Linked DNA regions of Tribolium castaneum. The protein of the gene in region 3 interacts with the protein of the main gene of each other region in a pairwise test. Links are inferred from orthologs where the notes say so. Each region holds a gene or a part of one and is shown on either strand. Other genes may lie near its edges. The genes, in order: beta-arrestin-1, N and dx.

What was found.
Region 1: the proteins of dx (region 3) and beta-arrestin-1 interact in a two-hybrid assay, tested with the Drosophila melanogaster proteins (2 studies listed by BioGRID). The link is inferred for Tribolium castaneum from reciprocal best matches to the Drosophila melanogaster genes dx and krz.
Region 2: the proteins of dx (region 3) and N interact in binary tests that used the Drosophila melanogaster proteins (3 or more experiments, as listed by UniProt). The link is inferred for Tribolium castaneum from reciprocal best matches to the Drosophila melanogaster genes dx and N.

The regions. Positions count from the first base shown.
Region 1 is NC_087403.1:1,772,945-1,777,150, forward strand, and holds the start of beta-arrestin-1, read right to left. Parts: upstream 2,854-4,206; 5' UTR 2,607-2,853; intron 2,309-2,606; exon of another isoform or gene 2,024-2,308; intron 1,613-2,023; 5' UTR 1,578-1,612; coding exon 1,488-1,577; intron 1-1,487. Other genes in the region: ras-related protein Rab6, read left to right, coding at 3,491-3,560, 3,827-3,885.
Region 2 is NC_087400.1:111,017-114,668, reverse strand, and holds part of N (notch), read left to right. Parts: intron 1-1,522; coding exon 1,523-2,066; intron 2,067-2,474; coding exon 2,475-3,238; intron 3,239-3,652. UniProt on the Drosophila melanogaster protein: Essential signaling protein which has a major role in many developmental processes. Functions as a receptor for membrane-bound ligands Delta and Serrate to regulate cell-fate determination.
Region 3 is NC_087399.1:6,222,413-6,226,661, reverse strand, and holds the start of dx (protein deltex), read right to left. Parts: upstream 2,943-4,249; 5' UTR 2,733-2,942; intron 2,301-2,732; 5' UTR 2,242-2,300; coding exon 2,043-2,241; intron 1,994-2,042; coding exon 1,842-1,993; intron 1,522-1,841; coding exon 1,152-1,521; intron 1,100-1,151; coding exon 863-1,099; intron 812-862; coding exon 472-811; intron 400-471; coding exon 72-399; 3' UTR 1-71. Other genes in the region: mitochondrial intermediate peptidase, read left to right, coding at 3,450-3,587, 3,643-3,905, 3,953-4,219.

The DNA.
Region 1 (4,206 bases), on a different chromosome or scaffold from region 3:
AAATCGGGCAAGTTTAACCGAATTTAAATGTAGGGTAGTGCGAGCGTGTTAAACACAAAAGAACATAATAATGTCGCGAAATTTAATTAAAAGCGCGAGCTTTTAGGCCCCGAGTGAGTTGTGCCTTGCATTTTCGCATTCGAAAATTTCCAGTCACGGTTGTCCGCCGCTGATTTTTTATATTCATGCTGTTGACGCAAGTATTAGTATGCAAGGAAATCGACGTTTAAAAACAACCAGATAAACAAAGGAAGAAAATGACTTGAAAACTCGCCATTTCCATAATCATGACATTGACATGAAAATTTGCCGGCGATAGACCATATGTCCAACGCGATAAAATCTAATTAGCGTATGATAAAACTAAAATGGGAAAAATCAGCGTCGATTCGTCGCCGGTGCCACTTGACCGATGATTGATTCAAACGCCAAGGAAATACAAATAAATTCGAATTTATTCAAATGGACGCACCTAGCAACTAATTAAACTTCACATCAAATGGATTTTCGAGCTTAAAACGCAATACACCAGACAATACCGACAAAAATAGCAACAAAATATCTTTCGGAGCATGTATCGTTATTCAATTCAAATGCACCCTTTCAAACTTGTTTACAGCCGTTTCGCTGCTTTCGACCGATCAACAAATCAAAAATTAAACTCGGATGTATTACCACACTTAACAAATAGATAAAACGTGACGTCTTGCAAACCACACCACAAACGATAACACAATGACGAAAACGCTGTCCTAATTATTTATTCAGCGACAATTACAGTACATTCTTTAAACACCTTAGAATCGCAATTCTGGGCCTGGGAGCTGGTTAAACATCAGGCGCAATGCTAAATCAACAATATTTATATTTATTTACACCATAAAATTTTATTTTTAAATATTTGCCCGATTGCGCCCGATTTAACGACTTCATTTAATCTTAGAAAAAATATTGTATACAACTTTCGGTTTCAACAACTAATGAAACAACATTCCGCGCAGTCACACTTATTTAGGAATTATCATCGCTATTACACTGTAATTAACAATAATTTTAATGGTGTTTAACAAGTCCAAATGACTCCCAGTATCGTCGAAACTCTTCTTAGTTCGCTCGCTATCTTGTGTATTTGATAAATATTAGGTAATTGCGATAATGTATCGATTCAATGAAACCGTCAAAAGTGATTCGTTGAAGTGGAATTCCCGGGTTTGGTCCCGGCTGACGATTATTCGATTTGATGCAGGAGTCTGATATGTGATAGAAAAGTAATTTTTCCCTCCTGCTTTATTTCCATAAAGGCCGACTTGCTGATGAACCAATATAAAGAGCAATCAAAGAGTCGATATTACATCACGTGCTGGTGTAACGAGGTGATCAGTTCACTCGAATTTCGTTTATACGGCCAATCAGGTGCAAGCTTAAACGATATTTTCTGAGCAATTAGCCTGATCTTTGATTAAAAAGCCGAAAACCACACAACTCACCTCTTTGTCAATTTCATTGTGGCCCATCCGAGCATTGTACAAATTCGAAAACCAGCTCTGGACCGACGCGAAAAAATTACTCCTACGCATTTTAACCGAAATTTAAAAAAATCATTTTGACGGACCTGAAACGACACTCTGAATCAAGTTCGGTTAGTTGCAAACAAAATGTTAATTGCCACACGGAGGGTTCGCCCGCTTTGACGAACTTTTCGATTGATTTCGATGAAAATTTAAGATCGGACTGATTAAAATTGAATTAATGGCCTTTGGGAAATAACCGGGTTGTGGGTTTTGGGCCTTTTTACTTAATGTGCTTCGGTCAGAGATAATTCTCCGCTCTTTCACTCTCATAAATATTATAAATCAATTTCGGGCTAAACATGACTTGATGAAAAGATAGCTGAAATTAATTTGGAAAGTTTAAAACAAAACGCCGGTGTTGATTAGCGAAGTTTGAGACTTCGCAGAGTATCGTTTGTTATATTTATTCGAGATGTCAAAGAGGACTGACTTTAAAGGGAAATATGATTCACCTAAGTAATTGCAGGAGACTTTTCCGAGTGAACTCAACTCCTCATCTCCTATGATTCAGAGCCGAGGTTGTTTAAAGGTGGGCACTGGAGCCGTATCTTGTACAATATTATCTTTATTTGCCTATTAAACACACACATATAATCTGGCAAGGTATAGGTATCAATAAAATTTGCCCTTACAACTCCCGAGCCAATCGAAACGTAGTCTTCAAGTTAATCTAATATCTTTATGAGGTTTAATTGACTACAAGGGGCCCCTCTGCGTCATAAAAACCGATGTGATTTCTGAAATACGTGAGATAATTTTTATCAATCCAGCTCGCAAAAACAGCCACACGAATGCCCTCCAATCCCGAATCAATTTCCTAGACCGTCCTGGCCTAATTAAAAGGGATCTGTTTACGAACGGCCCATTAATTTAATGGCACATAAATCCAAAACCAAATCTCGAAATTCCACCGCAGCCAAAATTTTGCAGGTTATTAAATCCTCTCACACAACTCGTCACAGCCACACAACAAAAATAACCCTCCCGACCTTCAAACCCAAAAACTGATCCCAAAAACCACCGATTTTCACTTACGTGTACAGTATTTTCCTGGAAGTGCCTAAAATTTAACTCTACACGTCCAATGCACACCAACAGAACTGCACTATGCGAGGAGGCGCCCCAGGGAGGGTGGACTTCGGGCACCGGGACCAACCGGTGAATAACCACAAATTTACGATTTCACAACCCCAAACAATTCGATGGTCTTCCCATTGGAACACCTTGGGCCTTGTCCAACTTCCCAACTGTGAAAACTGGGGAGTGGAGTAGGGATATAAAGCAACTGAAGCGCATGCTGATTCAGACCTGCCAACCGACCATCATGGGCACGCACACCCAGGACGCCGCCACGACGTGGGGCCCCGGCCCCGGCGCCCGAAAGGGCCGCCTCCAAGCAAAAAACCAAAATTTTGACCAAAGACTGCGGAAACAAAACCAGATTTTGAACTTGTAGCCAACTTAATACACCCGTTTAGGGGAATTTCGTGGCAATGCCACGCGCACCAATTTCAAACCCAAGCTTGCAATTTTGAATTTGAAAGTTATTAAGCTACAAATTGGCACCGAATTGTTAATTACGAGCATTTTTGGCCCGGACTGGCATTGTGAACGTTTTTGTCCCGATTTGTTTTTTCGCGCAAAGTGCGGGTGGATTAAATGGGCTTTTTTGCGGGTTAGTTTCACGAATCGGATCAGTTTTTTGGGGCCTGATTATTAGTCCAATGTAAAATATTTATGATTTTAATTTTTTTGGTCACTCCCAAATGTAACATGCGCAGTGTTGCAGTCACTTCGAGTCGCTACCGTGGCGTATTCTGTCATTGGTTTAGTCGGTACAGTTCGTTTTCCTGTGATATTTTACTGTGAAATTCGCAATTTGCAGGGTTTTTAAAAGAATCGTTAAGTTTTTAACAAAAATGTCGACGTCAGGAGACTTTGGTAATCCCTTGCGAAAATTTAAACTAGTTTTCTTAGGAGAACAAAGTGGTGAGTGTTGACGTTTCTTGATGAGTTGTAAACTTTCAAGCAGACCCGTGAAAAGATCAATAAAAGTCATGTTTCGCAACATTCCTCCTATTTGTTTTATAATTAATCGATTGGCAAACGCTGGACGAGGCTTCATTTTTCATATCGATTTTCCCGACTTGACCACTCGTCATCCTACATGACAGATCATTTCTAGGTTATGTTTTGATAAAACTGATAACTTTTTATTCAGTGATCAAGCGCCCCAATTGATTGTTCTTTTCCAGTTGGCAAAACGTCGCTAATAACAAGGTTTATGTACGACAGCTTCGATAACACCTACCAGGTGAGTCCCACGGACCATTATCACCCAAATGTAATATTAAACCGCAATTACGCTCGGGGGTAGCGCCGTAAATTCCGCAAAATCGCCAAAAATTAAGATGTAATTAGATTCGCCGCCCCAGCCACGAGCCCGGTTTTAATTAAAACGAAATTTGCTAGGGCTCTAATTACGATTTAAAAGTTTATTGATCGAGTTCCGCGAACATCCCTAAATAAGTTATACCGGCTACCGGTGGTAAGTATTTACAAATCGTAAAAAATAATCGATACGGTGGGCCGGGCGATTTCGATTGTCGTCCCACACACACCTACTTCTATTTCG
Region 2 (3,652 bases), on a different chromosome or scaffold from region 3:
ACATGAACTGGAATCGAGACAATTTTGATTTCGTTTCTCGCGGTAATAATTAGATGAACTTTGGAGGCATGTGAACGATGTGTTTCGACCTGCTTTTGCGAGCTACAAACAGTATCGACACGACTTTTTGCCTACGGTGGTACGAGATATGGGCGGGATTGATCAAGCTTGGCTCTTGTTTTAAATTTTTAATGTTACGCCACTGGTGCAAATGTCAATTGTCACTGAAATATCGTTTATAACCATGGTTACGTATAGATTTCTATGGCAACGATGGCAGGGCCGACTCGTCCGGGTCGGGGAAAAAAGGGTTAATTAATTTGTAATAACAAATCAGGTTTAACCGGAAATAAGCACAGTTTTCTTGTTTTGCATAGGATACGAACTCGTAAGTCATGCCTGAAAAAATGTTGTTTCTTTGAGAAAAATGTCTCACTTTGGTGATAATTAAAGCTAGAAGAACCGGTCGATGAAATGACACGACCCATTTGAAACGTTTACATAGTTTTTTCGAAAAAATTTAATTACGTTCAAACGCATGCATTATTCAAGCGATGAAAAAGATCGCACCGTTATTATATGAGAATGAGGCCAATTATCATCATCGTTAATAAATAAAATAAATAAATAAAAATGAATCTCGAGCAAACTGAAAACCACTATGCAAATGAATTCGATGCGCTTCTCTCTCGCGATGAAATAAATTTCGAAACGAAACAACAATTCGTGTGTCATTGAACGCGGATTCTCTTCATCATCTAAGCGGCGTTTTATTCAATTACAGGTCGCGTGATGAGATTTGATTGTAATTATTCGTGGCTATTTTTTTTCTTCATTCTTTTATAAAACGTTTATTGTTGACGGAGATTTGAAACGTGGGAGGAGAAAAATACGAATAGTCGAAGAAGGCTGTGTTGGATGGATATCGTGAAAGCATAAGCGGTTGGGCGTGTTTACAAGAGAAGGCTTGCACAACAACCGTTACCGATACATAAAGGTTTATACTTAATTCATAAGATGGTTGAGCGAGGCGAAGCGAATTTTATTTTCGAATATTCCCGCCACTTTGCAACATGAGCGACTCGTCTCCAGGGTCATTTTTAGTTTTTGAATTATTGCAAAAAAATTTGTAATTTTTGTTTTAATTTTTTCAATCGAAAATTAAAATAACTAGGACATATTTTCCAAGGCGTACTTGATGTCCGAGTTACAATACTCAACTTTGGCCATATTCACTGTTTGTATTTTTTAAAAGTGTTTTTATTCCTGATTCCAACGGTGTATCATATGATATGATTGAATCTTACATGCTGATCAAAATGGCAAATAAGCATTTTTGCGTAGTCTGCTTTGGAAGAAACGTGAACAATTTTGTTTTTAAACAAACTAGATTTTAGAGGTTTAATTGAATTTGGATCTGAAAGCGATTTGATTAGCTAGAATTTTATTCTTCGCAAAATAAAACAAGACAAAGTTAAATCAATTTCATAAATGGGGAAAAATAACTTAAAAAAATTTGCAGGTTTCACCGGCACCCAGTGCGAAATTGACATCGACGAATGCAAAGATCAGCCCTGCCTTAACGGCGGTGTCTGTCATGACCTCATCAATTCGTTTAAATGTAGTTGTGCAATCGGTTTCACCGGTTCCCGTTGTCAAATCAATATCGACGATTGTGTTTCATCGCCTTGTCGAAATGGTGGCACTTGTCATGATTCAATTGCCGGTTACACGTGCGAATGTCCGCCAGGTTTCACCGGTTTGTCATGCGAAACAAACATCAATGATTGTCAATCGTCGCCATGCCAACATGGCGAATGTCTCGATGGTGAAAATTCCTTCAGTTGCACGTGTCATCCCGGTTACACCGGTTACCTGTGTCAATATCAAATCAACGAATGCGAATCGAATCCGTGCCAATATGGCGGCTTGTGTCAGGATTTAGTCAACGGTTATCAATGCCTGTGTAAAGCCGGGACTTCAGGACCGAATTGCGAGATCAACGTCAATGAATGTTACAGTAACCCATGTCGGAATAATGCAAGATGTGTCGATGGAATTAATAGGTAAGTCAACGGTTATAACCGGTTATTTCAAAACCTACATTAGAAACTTTCATGCTTCTATTCTAATATAGTTAGAACTTAAACAATTATATGTCAATTTTTTGTTAAAATTTTTATTTGCTGGAGTTTATTTTATTTAAAATGTCGTTGAATTTTTTACAATAAGTGAATGTTTTTTTTTAATTTGATAACCTAAGGTTTGAGAAAATTGTCAATTGTCACAATTCAAGGCTAATGTGATTTTTTTTAAGTTTTTAATGTAGGCCCTAAAAGAATCGCCGTGTATAACATACACTAACCGATTGATTTTTTTTTTACATGCGTACAGTAGGGAGTAAGTAGTTTTACTAACAATAATTAATGGAGTAAATACAGGAAACTGTAATGCCAATTGTGTTTGTTTTTCAGTTATAACTGCGAATGTATTCCGGGATTCACCGGCAAACATTGCGAGAATGACATAGATGAGTGCGCTTCAAACCCGTGCGCCAATGGGGGCGTTTGCATCGACATGATAAACGGTTTTCGATGCGAATGCCCACGTGGTTACTATGACGCTCGTTGCCTTAGTGACGTTGACGAATGCAATTCAAATCCATGCAAACATGGCGGCAGTTGCGAGGATGGCGTCAATCAATTCATCTGTCATTGTCTACCAGGTTACAGTGGTAAACAATGCGAAATCAACATTGATGAATGCGCGTCAAATCCCTGTCAACACGGTGGCATTTGTCACGATCATCTCGCCTCCTATACTTGCGAATGTTTACCCGGTTATACTGGCATTAATTGTGAAACGAATATCGATGATTGTGCGATTAATCCGTGCAAAAATCGTGGCACGTGTATTGATCAAGTCAATGATTATAAATGTGTGTGTGAATTGCCGTTTACTGGACGTAAGTGCGAAGATAAGTTGGATCCGTGTACACCGAACCGGTGTCGGCATAACGCGAAATGTACGCCAAGTTCGAATTATAAGGATTTTGCGTGTACTTGTAGCGGGGGTTATACGGGGCGGTTTTGCGATCAAGACGTCGATGAATGTGTGGTTTCGAAACCGTGCCGAAACGGCGCCACTTGTAAGAATACCAATGGGTCGTACCATTGCATTTGTGCGCTGGGTTATGAAGGAAAAGACTGCAGTATTAATACGGATGATTGTGCTTCACGTAAGTAAAAAATTACAGTACATCTCCACAAACATACAGGCTGTCCTTAGAAAATTAAACTTTTTTTACGAAAATTATTTTCAAGTTTACAGCGTGTTTCTAAAATTAGCTACAACACAATGGAACAACCTTAATTTTTTTGTTGAATAATTTAAAAGTTTTAAATGAAATTTCCTGAAATTATCTTTTAATTATTAACTTTTTTTTAGATAGACAATTTAATAATGTTTGAGAAGCAAGAACAAAATATTGAGTGTTCCATTTTCAAGTTATTCAACTTTTGACAAAGTTCTTATTTTTTCTGTTTCTAATTGTAATACGCCAAACAATTAGAACAGATTTAAGATTGAACTTTTCCCTTTAAATTAGTGAAAGTCCTACTTTTCTACGTTTCTCCGTTTTTGTGTAATAAAT
Region 3 (4,249 bases):
TTGTAAATATTTCGAAATATTGCATAAGCGTATATTAACAGTACTTCCAACTTAACCTAACTAATCAAACCTCATCTCCCGTCCTCCTCCACAACACCCAACGCCTCCAACTCCCTCAAAACCCTCGTCAAGTACCCCGAATCGGGGTAACTATGCGCACTATTACTCGGCCCAATTTCGGTTTTATGCGGTATATTCCACGCGACCACATCCTCGCAACCTGTTGTGTTGGACCTACTGATCGTAAAAATCAACTTCCGCTGCCATGCGATATTCAATAACCGTAAAACTTTCTGTCCTTTGGGACAATCGGGCAGATAGGCCACGCGGGGGAACCCCACAGCGTAGTACTCCTTCCCTGGGTGGGGGTGGTCCGGCCCTTGAATCCCCGACTGAATACTGAACAAAAAATCAAATTGCCCCGCGTTTTTATTAGTTCCCCAAATCGACCACCAGGTGGCGCATACTCACTTATAAACGATTTGAATCGTGCGGTAGTTCTGGAAGCCGGGGAGTCGCTTATCGACGAAGCCCCACTCCATGATGCCGGGGGGCTGATTCCCGTGCTTCTCCCCGTAGACGCAGCCACAAATCGCACAATCAATATGCAAATGTGCCCCATTTTCCTGTTGTTCGGTCAGGGAGTAGTTAAGACAGTCGAGGTGCAACACGTGGTTGCAGGGCAACGCCACCACGACTAACGTGGGGCGCAGGGGCTGCCGGCACGTGGGGCAGGGCTGTCTGGGGGCCCACTCGCACGGTTGGGACACCCGCACGTATTTCGAGATTATTGCACTAGCCGGGTCCAAACCTAGGATTTTTAAATGTGACACGATGCTAGGGGAAAGTGTGACAGTGTTACCAACTATCGAGAGTAGGTCGTGATCGATATTGTCGTCCTCGCTGCTACATTGCAGCAAATCAGTGGTGGAAACTGTAGTTTGGCTTTCACGGCTCTCTTGACTTAAATAGGTCGAAACAGTGTCAAGACTCGGCCTTCGGCCTGATTTTGTACTACTGCTGTCCGCGTCCAAAAGTGATTCTTTATGAGTACGGTTTTCAGAATTCGAGGTGAAATTATTACTACTCGATTTATTGCCTAAAGTGAGTCGTTTAGTAAGAGAAAATTACAGGAACCTGTAATAACTTACTAAATATATTTAAATTATTTAATATTGCTCTAGCTAGGTTGGTAGTACTGGTCTCATTCCCGTTCTTTGGCTTGTGTGATCGTTTTTTATTGGCACTTCGTTTCGTTTCGACGACGTTTAAGGCGGCACTACTACCAATTGTTTTTTGTACTGGTTGTGTGACATTTTTGGCACTTTTTGCAATTTCGCGTCGACCGGTCACAGACGTCATTTCTTCTAACTTAACCTTAACTAACGGATATGGCGCTTGTTTGACACGTCTGACACTTCGAACATGGCCGTTGGTCAGCCATCTTTGTGTCAAGTTACTAAAATTAATCAAATACGGAAAACCTAAGTGAGTTTTACTCATGTCGATGTTTTGGTCCCCCTATAACCACCAAAGGAAAAAAACTGTAATACAAGTGCAAGGCTTAAAGTTCTAGGGCTGGCGTTATGCAACGAGCGTATGCGAGTTGCATACCAAGACACCCGAAAACTTTAAGCGTTTTCGTATGAGTGTTATTCAATTTTTTTTTGTTGAAACATTTTAATTTAAAACACGTTGCTATGAAAAGTGTGCTTTAAAATAGTGAAAACACATTGCTATCGGAAACGTGTTTTAAAAAAGTGTTTATAATCAAGGATTCAGATATTAAGAAGAAGGCTTAAAATGTTACCAACAAAAAAATAAAATAAAAGACACCATACATTAGCCCAAGCCTCCTCGATAAGGCACTGAATGTCCATATCAAAGGGGTGCCAATCGGTGCCATTTTCCGGATCGACACATTCCCACTTGGCCCCTTTTCCGGCCGGAGACGAAGGCGGGTAACACTTGCGACGCACTTTGACAACCTCATCTAACAATTTTATTTTTTTTTTGACTATTTTTTTTATATTTTTTTATACCTGTCTCCTCTTGTACTTGTGTCAAAGTGCGCAAATTGACATAAAAGTTGAACAAGGTCGGGTCGGCGTCAGATAAAAGCACGCGAGTCAGTTGTTTGGCATTTGCTCGCTCTAAATGCTGGGTCACCGCAGGGCTGTAGGGCTTCCAATAGCCGGGTCTAGTCTCATATTCCCATACGACCACAGCGTGGCCCGACATTTTGGCCGAAAATCGGCAAAATCATCTGTTTTGGACGCTTCCAAGTCTGTTAAAACTGGCTTTGAGTGAATTATGAATGATTTAATAAGCACAAAACCGCGTTTTGAATTGAAAAAGCAAATTTAATTTGTAACGTATGCAACCAACAATTCACATCCGTGCCACTTTGCCTCGCATTAATTATGCACCGTTGTGTACATTTGCATTATTAATCCGCATGCGAGTTGTTAATTACACTTTTTAATAACAATGACTCTCTTAATTTCCTCAATTTAAATTAAAACGCACACAATAAAACAATTAAATTATAATTTATCCCACTAACAAGCTGTCATTCTCGTCCGTAATCACAGCCAACTAGTGGAAAATGATTTAATGCCGAAATCTCCTCCAGTTATTAATTAAAAGTCAGAGAAATAATTTTCCGTCTGGATGGAGTAGCATTTCATTCATTTTTACCAAATTTTGGCTTAAAAACTACCGAGACTCACCAATCATTTAATTAACATCATGACCCCAACTTCAATTGTTTTTTAAACACAGGAAACTGCGCCAAAACTACACTCATTTGTTTTCTGTGATTAGATAACGCTGATAACAACATAAACTCAATTCACGAAAAAGCGAATTGGACGGGATTTTATTTTGTAAACAAAAAATGAGCACTTGTGACAACTTGTTAACAAACCATCAACCATTACCATTTGTTACGTCATCAGATTTGTGGGATTTGTGGGATGAGGCATTCAGGATACGAGACGTTGCGACAGATGATTATTTAATCCTAATCTAATTCATTTGTTACTGGAATGAAACTGATCATAGTTATGAAATTTTATTCTTTTTTTCGTTAATTTTAGTTTGGTTACAGACAAGGGAAAATGTCCGTTTTTTGTAAGTACATGGGGCATATAATGCTACGTCTTGTAGACACAAAATCACAATCATCTGTCAAAAAAAGCCAAAGTTCTTGTAACTTTAAAAAACCCATTTTTGCATAATTTTCACCCAAATCCCATTTTAATTAACCGTAAGTTTTTTACATTTTAATTAAAATTAGGTGCCGTGTCATTTTATGTAATTTTATTGTGATGTGATTTTTTAGGTTATGTACAATGTCTCACACAAAAACATCATTTTCTATTTTACGGAACGTTAAATCTTGCTAAAACCACATCAGACGTCACGTTACAAACGCAACTTTGAAAATGTTTGCCACGAATTTATCATTCAAGCTCCTCAAAACTCTCACAACCTCAAACTGCAATGTTAGTCGATGGTCAGCTCTAGAAAAAATATTTAACACCAAACCGGGCTTAAACCTCGACATAGTGACAAAAAATGTTGTAAGTAACTCGGCGGTATTGTTTTGTGAGGGGATATACATTGAGGGGGTTTTAGGGCCTCTTTGGGGTGCCCCAACTCACCACCCATGAGGGTTTTTACTACGTTACGCAAAAATGCGTTGAAAAAACCGACGATTTGGTGCGTGAGGCCCTTTCGAGCGACCGAAAGCGCAAAATGGTTGAGATTTTTGACGAATTGTCTGACTCTTTGTGCCAAGTGGCTGATTTGGCTGAGTTTATTCGATTTGCACACCCGTCTTCTGAGTACATCGCGGCAGCGGAGCACACGTCAGTTGCCATAAGTAAACTAGTCGAAAGGTGGGCCCAAAATGGGCAAAAATTGGTTATTTAAAATTTATTTTTAGATTAAACACTAATATTCAAATGTATGAGGCTCTAAAGACTGCTGTGAATACAACAGATATAGTGCCAACAACCGAGGTTGATAACCTGGTCGGGAAGTTGTTTTTGTTTGATTTTGAACAGTGTGGGATTCACCTAAATGAGCACAAGCGAAACCAAGTTGTTGAACTTAATAACAAAATTTTATGTGCGGGGCAACAGTTCCTCAATGGAATATCAAATCCTAAGGTTATCAAGCAGAGTGCCCTTCCGGACAGCGTCCGCGATGTGTGAGTATACTCTGTTTTCCGCCCAATTTC